Oryctolagus cuniculus: one gene and its partners. The protein of the gene in region 1 interacts with the protein of each later gene in a biochemical or structural test. Links are inferred from orthologs where the notes say so. Each region holds a gene or a part of one and is shown on either strand. Other genes may lie near its edges.

Evidence for each region.
Region 2: the proteins of SH2D1B (region 1) and ERBB2 form a complex in vitro, tested with the Homo sapiens proteins (2 studies listed by BioGRID and IntAct, with this or other methods). The link is inferred for Oryctolagus cuniculus from reciprocal best matches to the Homo sapiens genes SH2D1B and ERBB2.
Region 3: the proteins of SH2D1B (region 1) and SLAMF1 interact in a test that uses a peptide from one of them, tested with the Homo sapiens proteins (2 studies listed by BioGRID). The link is inferred for Oryctolagus cuniculus from reciprocal best matches to the Homo sapiens genes SH2D1B and SLAMF1.

What each region holds. Positions count from the first base shown.
Region 1 is NC_091438.1:36,298,435-36,302,744, forward strand, and holds the start of SH2D1B (SH2 domain-containing protein 1B), read left to right. Parts: upstream 1-1,498; 5' UTR 1,499-1,645; coding exon 1,646-1,779; intron 1,780-4,310. UniProt on the Homo sapiens protein: Cytoplasmic adapter regulating receptors of the signaling lymphocytic activation molecule (SLAM) family such as CD84, SLAMF1, LY9 and CD244. In SLAM signaling seems to cooperate with SH2D1A/SAP.
Region 2 is NC_091448.1:22,688,347-22,691,961, reverse strand, and holds part of ERBB2 (receptor tyrosine-protein kinase erbB-2), read left to right. Parts: intron 1-3,019; coding exon 3,020-3,171; intron 3,172-3,615. UniProt on the Homo sapiens protein: Protein tyrosine kinase that is part of several cell surface receptor complexes, but that apparently needs a coreceptor for ligand binding. Essential component of a neuregulin-receptor complex, although neuregulins do not interact with it alone.
Region 3 is NC_091438.1:38,256,032-38,260,380, forward strand, and holds the start of SLAMF1 (signaling lymphocytic activation molecule), read left to right. Parts: upstream 1-1,500; 5' UTR 1,501-1,643; coding exon 1,644-1,719; intron 1,720-4,349.

The DNA of each region.
Region 1 (4,310 bases):
TTGTGTGAAAGTGTTAAAAATGGCCTTTGTTCATCAGTGGCAATGAGCCTTGAAGGCTGTCCTCCAGTGGTGTCCAATAGCTTCTGTTCTCATTGATGTCTTCCATTTCTCATGTCGTTTGACCTGTGGAAGTCTTTTTCAATTGGCCCATTGTTATAAGGCCACCACAAAACACACCAAACACCAGAGTTAGAGGAAAGGTTTATTGTTGGGTGGAGGAAGCCCAATGGGCCCGGGGGAGAGGGCAAGAAAGTAAGAGAGAGTACACATGTGTGGAAAACAGGTCCTGTTAAACCTTTGTCATGGGGCAGGAAAGTAGGAGCAAGTAATCCCATTAGGGTGGGAGTGGAGCTGACACCTGTGGTTGGGCCATCTGGTCACCTGGCTTCCAGCAATGGCAGTGGGGGCTAGAGCCTAGGATTGTGTCCGGGGTGTAGATCACGCCACATCTAAGACTGCACCATTTTGCTAACAGTGTGTCTAGGTGTATCAACTCTTCAGCATCCAAACACTTTTTTCTTTAAAAAAATTGTATTTACAAAAAATTGTATTACAAATTTCATGTATTTCATATATATTTATTCAGGAACATAGTGACGCTTCCCATCCTACCCTCCCTTCTGCCCACATTTCCACCCTTCTTCCTCCTCCCTCTCTTATTCCCACTCTTAATTTTTACAAAGATCTGTTAACTTTATACCCAACACTAAGTAAATAGGTCAACAAATAGTGTGGGGAAAAAAAAAACAACACTGTTCCTCAACAGTTGAGACAAGGGCTGTTAAAAATCATCACAAACATTTTTTAAATTTTTTTGACAGGCAGAGTGGACAGTGAGAGAGAGAGACAGAGAGAAAGGTCTTCCTTTTCCATTGGTTCACCCTCCAATGGCTGCTGTGGCTGGCGCGTTGCGCTGATCCGAAGCCAGGAGCCAGGTGCTTCTCCTGGTCTCCCATGCGGGTGCAGGGCCTAAGCACTTGGGCCATCCTCCACTGCACTCCCGGGGCACAGCAGAGAGCTGGACTGGAAGAAGAGTAACCGGTACTTACCCGGCGCCCCGACCAGGACTAGAACCCACTGTGCCGGTGCCACAGGCAGAGGACTAGCCTATTGAGCCGCGGCGCTGGCCTCACAAACATTTTTTGAGCACCCTTTCTGAGCTTAGCATTGACTAACTAGAGGCAACATCAGCAGAAATACGTAGTCATTAAAATGAACAAGGTGTGCTCCCTGGAAAAAATACCAGTAGCCATAGAAGGTAAAGACTAGGGATATCTGGCAATACATGAGGTTGCAGTAAGTTTCCTGGGAGTTGCCTTTTCCATTGTAGCCCCAGTGAGGACCATCACTAAATCCATTGTGACCCCAAAGGTACTCTCATTCACTTCTCTGAGTCACATCAAAGCCGTTTATAGCCTGAAGGGTCTTGGTCACTTCATCACTTCCGCCCTTCTCATTTCCTGATCTGATAAAACTGGGTGAGTCCCACAGAGCAACCTCACACCACTCCCACACCACTAGAGGAAGAGATATTTCCACAGGCCCTTTCAAGTCAGCAGCCTTCCCTTCCCTTCTCAGAGCCATTCCTTGACTTGGAGTTGGATGTCAAGCTAGCGGGACAGCCTAAAATACAACAGGGCTCTCCATGGATCTGTCTTACTACCATGGCCCTCTGACCAAGCAGGACTGTGAAACCTTGTTGCTCCAGGAAGGGGTGGATGGCAACTTCTTGTTGAGAGACAGCGAGTCTATACCAGGAGCCCTGTGCCTCTGTGTCTCGTGAGTAGCCTCAGTTTCCACACATTTGAAACTATATATTCAAAGTCATCATGGCAGCCACATAGTGAAGGAATTGGGCTTCTCTCTGACTTTGCTGGGACAGGACGTGCATGTTCTCCCATATGCCCTTTTGCCCCTGGTGTGAATGCCACCTTTGTAATCTCTGCAGTAGCAGAAGCAGGGCTGTGGATGTGGGCGAAGGGGAGGATTGCAGGAAGCATGGGAGGTATGAGGAGTGGAGAAAAGGTAGAAATAGCAGAAAGTTCCTCTCCTCCGGAAGTCTGTTTATTTAATATGGAAAACATGTAGGGCTCTTTATGAAATTCTAATCACAAAGACTGACTGTGCTATATCGTGCTGCATCTCCTTGCAGTCCTTAGAAATACTAATGATACTAATGACATTTCACATTGTGTTAGATTTGTAAAGGGCCTCAATTTACATAATTTCCTTTCATCCTTCCTGTGGTCTATCAAGGCCAACAGAAGCAGTCCCCTCTAAAAGTGAAAAAACAGATCTAGATTTCTCAAATGCCTTGTTTGGGTTAAAAGTCATCAGCCATTCCAGAGTCTGAGTTAAATGTGAAATTCCAGGCTAGCGTATAAGAACTGCTCTGCTGAAAGAAACTGTGTATTTGCCCAGTTTACAGTGCAACCCCAAGATACATCACCTTGCATTAGTTAACAGGTCAAAGGTTACAAAATATTTTGTAGAGATCACCAAAACTTTTATTCTATCTACTATAGGAATTAGAACTCAGTGTCTCTTGTCAAAGATGAGAAGTTACTTGCTGACATTTGGTAAAGCATGGTGAGGGAGACTCTTTTGTGGAACCATTGTGACAGGTATAGGATTCACTACAATAAGGACTTGCAGTAGGGGAGAGAAATTGAATTCAACTCAGTATATGCATGGATTTGTGGGAGCTGATAATTAAGGAACAAAGCGAGGGTGAGAGAATAGGAAACTATAGGGGAAAACATAGAGGTGAGGGGGATTCTGGCCAAACCAGTCAGCTTGTCTTGCTGAAGACAAGCCAGGCTGATCAGACATCACCTGGGGGATGGCAGAGGATGAGAAACCTGGTTAGATATCAAGAGTGACCAGATATTAAGGGTGATGGGCACTTGTCAAACTGACTTAGAAAGGTTCTTTCCTAAAGTGGCATTTTAAAAGGAAGTGGGCATATGGGCCCATGAGAAGGTTCAGAAGTCTGACCCCTGTCAGGCCATGTAAAGAATCTTTTCACTCTGTAAATGAACTTCTGTACTTCTCAGAATTGGGAATCTATGAGGACAAAAGTGGTTGTTATTGCCAATGAGAGAGAAAGTCAAAAAGTTCATGAAATATGCAATTAAAAGATGAGTTTATTTTGGCATCAAAAATTGAAATACATGCATAGTTTTTTCATAATATGCATTTCTATGAACTTTTTGAAGATCCCATGTAAAATATGAAGGAATATATCTTTCTTAAAATGGTACTGAGGATACAAATATGAGAAAGATAGACTTAAGGTATTGTCAGTTTCTATTATCAAGTTACAAGTGGTATTGAGAATACTTCCTTATATTTCTTAAGCATTGGTAGTTCCTTTTATGAGAATTACATATTCACATCTTCTTAGCTTCAGTGGTTTATCTTCCTTTTACTTCTCTTCTCCAAATTCTGTGTACAGAGGTCAAACATTTTCTCCAAAGAAGACACAAACACAAAAGAGGAAACACACACACACACACACACACACATTCCTTTAAAATGAACTTTACATAAACTAACAGAAGTTGGTTACTCATTGAGGAGAAAAAAAACACTGTATTCAAGTATGGTACGATTCAAGAAATAATGGATGACTTCATGTTAGGAAAAATATTAGTGTAATTATACATTAATAGATTAAAAGTTACAAAATGCAATTAAACACACATACAGACATGGGCATGCATTTACAAACTTCTAACAATACAGGGTTCTACAGATACTCCCTTAACCACAGATCAGGTGCAGCACTAGAAGAATTCCTGCTAAGGGCGTCACTGAGTCAATGCTGCCCATCACAGTACTACCATGTAGCATGTACCAGGAAATCCTAACAAGTGTAATTAGCACATGGGGTAAATAAAAAAATGTAAAAAGGTAAAAGAAAGGTACAAAATTATTCTTTGACATTGTGGTGATTTTATATCTATAAAATCTAAGATGCTACTGAAAAGAAACTGCCAAAAACTTTAAGGAAATTCAGTAAGGGCTTCTATTTATAAAGTTAAATTATAAGAGGCAAGTGTTTGACACAGCTATTACGAGACCCACACATCCCATATCAGAGTGGCTGGGAGTCAGACCAAAGAATTTGGGTCCCTTTGCCAATGTGGAGGGACTCAGTTGAAAACCATATCAGTTCATCATAAATTAGTCTGTAAGTTCAATATGTTTCCAGTAAGAAAAAGAAAAACACCACCATCCGAATATTTTTAATTTATAGAAAGGATAGTGAAGTGTATCATGGTAGAACCTGAAGAAATGTTTAGATT
Region 2 (3,615 bases), on another chromosome or scaffold:
CCCTCCACCTGCAGGGAAACTCCTGTGCCACTTCTGCTAGGCCACCCCCTCCCCTCCTCACCCTTGGGAAGAGAGGCGAGGTAGGGGCGAGGGATGTGTGTGCTCTGAAGGAGTGGGAGAATTATTACAGCTAATGTTTGTGTTGCCCCAGCTCTGTTTACAAAGACTTGCCATGTTTACAGACTGCCTCTGGATTCAAGCTCTCGTTTAACTCTCTTGTACCTGCTTGGAGGGAGTAAGAGTCGTTAGGACCCAGTTTAGGCCAGGAAATAGTCGCTGGGTGCCAAGGAAATCACAGGTGTGGAGATGAATCCCAGGGAGCTTCTGCCCTGCAGGTGCAAGGCCTCACAAGGTCACGGAGAGAGTGGCTGCGCTAGGGTTCTGGTCTAAAAACAGCCTAAACCGTGCAGGTGTGTGTAGGGGTGAGCCCTGGCATGGCTGTGGCCGCAGGGGTCTGGGGATGAAGGGAGTTCCCTGGTGGTACTCATGGAAACCAAAGGAAGCCTTAGCTTTCATGCTGTGAACAAAGAAGCAGCTTGGGCTAAAGGCTGGGGGAGAGGAGAGAACCCATCAAAGAGCCCGGGACTGGGGCCAAACCCTGACCACCAGTGTCCCGCAGGAGGGACAGGAGGGAGTGCGCCCCGCTCTGCACGGAGGAATGGGCACCGAGACCGCACCTGGCCCCTTTGCCTCCCGAGGCAGACTAGACTGGGTGTATGCACTCAGCAGGCACAAGTTCTGTTCTGTGGGCCCTGTGCTGGCTCTGGGCTGGTCCTGTCTCACTCTTGGCCCCTGAGCTTGGGGCTGCTCAGGGGCCAGCGTCCCTGGTGGGCATTAGAACCTTCCACCATGCAAGGCTGGGTATGGGGGTCACCGAAGGGCCTGGGGAAGGGGCCCGTAGGATGGAGATGGAGGCAGGGGAGGCACCAGGTGGGCCTTCTGAACAGCTTGGCAGGGGTGTAGCCTGCAAGGCTCCCGGGCCCTGGGTACCAATTCTACCACCTGCCGGCAAACCCTTGAGAGTCTTAGTCTCGGTTCAGCCGCAAGCAAGTCAGGTAAACAGACTGGCTAGCGGGGCGTGGCTGCCACTCTCCCTGACCCTGCTGCCCAGCCCCCTGCGCTGCCTTAGAGCCTGTTCTCGGTGGCATCAGGAGAGTGACTGTTGACACCGTGTGTGCAGCGGAAGGACCTACGTATAATCCCGCCCCTGTCGCTCATGGGGCAGTGTCACTGCCAGCCTGTTTCCTCTGTGCAGGGTGGCAGTCCCGGCCCCCAGCATGTCGTGAGGATTGCCAAGTGCCTGCTGGGCGCACAGTAGGTGCCCAGCCCGGTCAAGGTGGCGCTTCCATGGTGGTGGCTGACTCGTTGCCTGGCTGCCCTGGCTAGTGTCCCTTGCAGGTGGTGGAGAGCCACAAGGAGTGGACCGCCACATGGGGAGGGCCCCTGCCCCAGCCCTGTCAGTCCCTGTCCCCAGCTTGGGCCAGAGCTGGGATCTGGGCCTGGAGACAGCTGTGTCTATGCAGCAGCTGAAGCTGCTGGCGGGGGGAGGTCCCGGCAGCGGGCGTTATTTTGGGCCTGGCCGCCCACCCCCGGCTCCTGTTTCTCTTGGGAGTCTTTGGGGGGAAGGGTTGGGGCAAGGGAGGGGTGCAATGGCAAAGGGTGGGGAGACCTGGCAGTCCCCTGTCCTGGTGTCCGGGGGAGAGAGATCCTATCTGCCCAGCGGGGAGGACCAGAGAGCAGCCTGGGCGTTACTGGGAGGCCACCGAGGGATTCCCGGCTTGCCCCGCCAGCCTTTCCCCGGCTCTTTGGGGCAGGGGTGGGGGGGTGGGTATCTTCTCGCCCCCTAAGACTTGACCTTAAGCTGCAGGTGGCTGGGAGAGGAGAGCCCCTGGCGCCAGACCCCCAAACCCACTGCTCTGGTCCCTGGGAGGCGCAGTAGAGACCGGCAGGAATTCTGGGCCGCTCAGGCACCTGCGAGCCTGTGTAACTGACGGTGCCCTCCGCCCGCCTCCCTCCACGCTCCTGGGCAGGACGCGCCAGGTGATTCATGTTCTCACCGGAGCAGAAAAACAAGTTCAACTGGGCACTTTCGTCTCCCCCCACCCCCGCCGCTGGCAGACATGGGGCATGCTGCTCCCAGAGTGCCCCTCACCAGGGGAGGGTCACCCCTCCCATCGATTCCCTGGGCTGAGTGGCTCCTTCTGGTCTCAGGAACCCCCATGCTAAGGCCCAGGAGGGGTCAGGTGCGACGGTGCATCTTGGTTGGCCCGGGCAGGTACACAGAGCTGACGCTGTGCCCCCGTGGCAGGAGTTTCATGGCACAGATTCTGCCAGCTGGTTCTGGAGCCCTGCCCTGAGGAGGTGGCAAGGGCGAGGGTGCCAACGTAGGTACCTGCAGAGCGTGCCTCGCCCTGGCCCAGGATCTTCTGCTGGGGTCCGGATGCCCATACTGGTGTCTGAGGCGCCTTCTCTTTGCCGGGGGTGGGGTGGGGAGGTGGGGAGTTCTAGAGGTCTCTGCAGCGCCCAGGGCCCGGGCTGCCCCATGTCCCAGCTATGACACCCGCCGCCCCTCCTTCCCCACTTGCTGGGTGGCACTGTGGGGGCGGCTGGCGCTGGCCAGGAGGTTGACAGTGTGGGTGTGTGAGAACGGCCTAGGGAGAATGCCCTGGGTTTGTTGACTTGGGAAAGGGGCAGGGGGTACCCAGAGGTTTCATGATTCATCATCGCCTCTTGGGGGTTTTGTACCCCCCGGCCCTGCTTGGTGCCTGTGGGACAAAGGGAAGCTTTCTTTGCCCTTCTTGGTGGGCAAGCCCCCTGGGGCCGGCACACAGGGCCCCTCTGGGTGCCCAGGGCGGACCCAGCCAGAAGGGAGCCTCTCCCCAGATTTGCCTCTTGTTCCCGACATGACGCTGCAGGGGGGCCAGGAAGTGGGAGACGGGCTTTCACAGCCGCGCTGCCTCCCCGTCTTGGGGCGGGTGTGGAGGGCAGCATCCTCTGACCTGTGTGCCCCCTCCCGCAGTGTGCACCGGCACAGACATGAAGCTGCGGTTCCCGGCCAGTCCCGAGACCCACCTGGACATGCTTCGCTACCTCTACCAGGGCTGTCAGGTGGTGCAGGGGAACCTGGAACTCACCTACCTGCCTGCCAATGCCAGTCTCTCCTTCCTGCAGGTGAGGCCGGGGCAGCCCAGCCAGGCCCTCCTCCAGCTGGGCTGAGTCCTCTGATTATAGGTGGGCGGTAGAAGAGGGTGCTTTGCCCTGTGCTTCCTTAGCCGGGAAGTCCTTCCTGATGTCTAACTCCTACCCATTCCATTACGAAATCAGTTGACTTTCATTGTGTCACATAGCTGGCCGGGGCCCTGAGTGGGATGCGTCTGTGCTTCTGCCACATTGGCGCTCTCTGGCCAGCGTGACCACCTCCCCTGTCGGACTGCCCGGGCCACGGTCCCTCTCCCACCTATGGTAGCGGAGAGGGTGGTGGGAGAGGTGAGTTCCAGGCCCACTTCTGCCGCTCATGTGCTGTGTGAATATGATCTAATCCTTAGCTGCCCTGGGCCTCAGCTTCCCTGTCTGTATAGTGGGAGCACCAGGCATGCTGGGGACCCCTCACAAAGG
Region 3 (4,349 bases), about 2.0 Mb from region 1:
AGGCACCCATATGACAGAGGATTAACCTAGTGTGACATGGCACAGGCTCCAAAATGTCCTTTTTTAAGTTAAAGAAATGTGAGACAATAAAGAAATGTGTTGGAACATCACTTGTTCATTAGTGACACTGACAAATCAGATGACAGTTTTTGAATACTAAGAAAATATTTTCCCTGTTTTTTTTTTTTTTTACATCATCTTCAACATAAGGGCTATAGTCACGGCACATGTTTCCCTGTCACTTTTCACATCTAGACAGTATTATAATAAATGAAAGCTCCGGCTTATATTGTTTACTGATTTCCATGGTATAAATCCCCATGTCTGATTCCAGGCTCCCAACATGATGTCGTTGAATGAAGAGCTGGGAAGAGAGTCGCAGCAGCATCCATGACCTAGTAACTTACTTCCACCACAAAGAGACACTAGCTTTAACAATAGTAACTTCATAAAATAATTAGTAAGTATTGAGTAATTAGAGGGTTTTATTCCCTCCATTTTAAACATAATTTATTCAGTGTAAGTTTGTGTAAATACATGTATCTTAATAATGGCCGTGTTTATCAATCAGCTCACAGTTTCCTGAAAATATAATAATTGGCTTTCATGAGTTGATCTGTACTGGCTCTATCGCAAGATAGAGTGTCGTGCTGTGGGAACCATGGTTGGCTACTGGGTGAAGAAGGAAGGGGAACGGTGAGAATAAAGAGCAAGTTCCCACATATAACCAATTCTTATCACCCTGATCCCCTTGGAGAGGCCAATAGGAGAGTGTCTTTGACCTTTAAGGTGGGTTCCAATTATGCTGACCTGGCCTTCCAAAGCCTCCTTGAGAGCACTGGTGGTAACAGCGTCTTCCCGTGTTCTATTCTCATAGCTCAACTCAGAACAGCACAGGGTCTCCTCCACCAATTCTAGCCATTTCTCTTCAATGAAAAGCCACACATTCCAAAATAAAGGTAACTCCCCAAAGCATGGCACAGGGCTCACTATATTCCAGCACATTGTATCCACAGGGAAACTGGATTTCTGCCAAGAAATCCACACCCCCACCCCCCACCCCACCTCTCTGTGCCTGTGGCACCAGGGCTGGAGTGCAGGCAGAAGTGTTCTCTGAGATTATAGGGCAAATGCATAGGAAGAGTTCTATCAGTTCAATAAAATTCAGTCATCTAAGTTGAGCTTGGAGCTGGCACATTTGAGGCTTGGCTTGACGAAACTCCCTCTTTTCTTTGCACTCTTAGAAGAGTTGTCAGAGGGAACTGCTCAGAGAAGTCATGACATCCATTTCCTGGAGACAGCGAAGGAGAGTAGGAAGGGAGCCCATTTCAACCCCACTCGGGGGTTTGGCCGGGATGACTACACAACCCTTTTCCCGGCTCCAGTAATGTAAGTGCCTGACTCGTACGTGTTTCTTGAGAACAAAAAGTGACTTCAGGCCTGAAGAGAGATGAGCAATCCTCGAGACACAGGCAGAAAAAGTCCCAAGTGAGACAGGAAGCTAGTTCAGGAACCTGCTGGCTGCTGATGTGTAAACTAGACAGCAGAGGCAGCACTGCTGACACGCAGCCCGCTTCTGCTGCCGTGCCTGCGAGCGGCCGCCGGGCTCCCGGCCAGGCCCCCTTCCCTCTCCTCGCTGGCTGATGGATACCAAGGGGTACTTCTCCTGGAGCCTCCTGCTGGTCCTGTCCCTGGCTTTTGGACTGAGCTACGTAGCGGGTGAGTGTTCTTCTGTTTAGGGGTTTGAGTCCCACAGCTAGCTGCTGGGGACCAGCATAGCCTTGTGGATGGAGAGAAGGCATAGGGGCTGGGGACTGTGGGTCAGCTGCCTCTTCCTTAGGGACTGGCTGTGAGTTTTGACTGCCTCTTTAAGGAGGAAGGACCATTATGAGTTCCTGGGCCCTTGGGTTCCCTGCCTTAACCTCATCAACCCTAGTTTCCAAGGAAACCAGGAGCTCCTAGCCAAAGGCATCTGTCACACTCAAAACCAGCCTCTCATCACAAGAGGTTCTCACCGGGGTCCTATCCAAGCGGGTTGATTTTGCATGACTACCCTTCGGCAAGACCCAGGCTTTGGGGGACAGATCCCTAGGATATGATTTGTCTGAATGCTTACATATACAAGCACACAAACCAGAATCTGGCCCAACAAAAAGCAAGGGCTACAGTGAGAAGAAAGGGTAAGAAGTGAAAACCCCAGGCCTTTGGTTGAGAACAAAAACAGTGGCCTCAGTGTGGTCATACTGGTGGCTACTTTCTTGGAAGAGAAGCTTCCAAAGCAACAGAAGGGGGTAATATTGGGATTTCTGAACCCAAGGCTGGTTACAGTATGTGGGAAATGCAAATTGAAAGCCCTCAGGGTCAGAGTGGCTTCAGCAGTAGAGCCAGATGGCAGCTGAAACTTTGGAGCTGGGCTTGTCTGCCTCTCAAGGCAAACTATTTTTTTCTGCTTAGTAGTTTCAGGGCTTGAGATTAAAAAAAAAAAATGCCAAACAAGAAAATAGACATTAGGCTGTTGGCATGAGGAGGAGAAGGATCTCCTGCCTACACCCCTGCGACTTAAGTTAGACTTTGGGAGGCAACCTGGAATAGAGGAGGCATTAGAGAAAGGGGCAGGGGGAAACCCTGAGGCCCAGGGTGTTTTTGGGGTTTTCAAGACCACAGATCCATCATAGACTTTGGCAGGAAAAGCCCCGGGATCTATGAGGGATGCAGGGAAGCCGTGTGTGGGATCTACCTCGTGCCAGTCTCCCAGGTAAAGAGGCCTTTCCATGGCCTCACTCTCTTGCAGAATCAACAAAATCAGAGTTCTTACTTGTGGGATCTAGAAAAGGGACAACTGAACACAGGGCTCAGAAGGCCACACTGGACCACTTAGAGTGATCACAGGGAGAGCCAAGCTTCCCTTGTTGTACCTCATTTGTGACTTAGGTTTTTGGCATGCTTGTGTGTGACTGTAAGGAATGATGGATTGTCCTAGCGGTTGGATTTTCTGTCTCCATGCTTATTTGAATGGTCAAGTCAGTTACACTGGTCAGTCCAGCTCAAGGTATTTCTCATACAGCTTACAGCGGCTCTGGAGGTAGTTGGTGAGGGAGAAATGGCCCAGCCCCAGAAGGCGTGTCTGCTCAATTGGCTGCTGCTCCTTCACTTGTGTTCCATCTTCTGAAATGTATACAAAATTTTTTCAGTCTTTCTCTTCAAATATGCACCCTTTTGTGAAACCCCAATAAAACCCAGACGGAAACACTTTGCAAATGGGACAGGTCAGTCATGACAGATTTACCCAACCAAGGTTTGATTCTTGTAAAATCAGCAACACTCTCCTTTCCATCTCTGCTCAGCTCAACTTCCAATTCCCAGTCAAAATCATAAAAGCCTAAAAATTCACATGTCCCCTTCCCAGCTCCCACCAAGGAAATTTTTCTTAGAAGATTTTATTTTTAGAGCAGGTTTAGGTTGACAGCAAATGTAGCAGAAGGCAGAGGTTTCCTAAAACCCTCTGCCCCACACAGACAGAGCCTCTTCTGTTATCCATACCTCCTACTATGGTGGTACATTTGTTAAACTTGATAAACCCAAAAAAGATTTTTTCCTTTTTCCATGCAGGACTTCCTCATCCTCTTCACATACAGGGGCTAAGAGGTGAGAAGCAAGCATACAGTTCTAGCCTTGACCTGACCTTGTGTGTTTAATGGTCCATTGTATTCCAGGATGTTGATCTAGGTGCTTGTAGTTCCCAAAAGCTTTCCTACTGTGACATCTAAACTAACTCCAGGACTGGAGTGGAAATCAGAACACCAGGACATTTTGGTTTTATCCATAGATGGACTTTGGGTGATATCTTTTAAGCAGCTATCTATTAAGAAAACATGATATGGTAAGCATTGTACAAAGTGTGGAGAAAGCAAATAGAATGATCACAGCCACTGCCTAGCCCCTGGCACAGTTGTTTGTATGTGAAAGTGCATCCAGAAATGTTTGTTGAAAGAAGAATGTTAGTACACATTTCATATTTGCTATGTACCGGGCACTGTTCTAAGTGCTTTGTGTGTATCTGTCATTTACGTCTCACACCAATGCTATGAGATGTATTATCATTATTACCATTACAAATTTATAAAAAAGGGAGGAGAGGTATGGAGTAATTTAACAGTTTCTCCATGCTCATACAACCTGACACCGGAGATCTCAATGAATGAAACTGGAGAACATTATGCCTGGAAAGCGGGGATGATGCTGAAATTTGCATCCAGCTCTCATGGTATAAGTTAGAATATGCGTTCTATAATTGAACTGTGTGAGTTGGATTGAATTACACGGAAGTATAGCATTCTCAAATGGTGAGA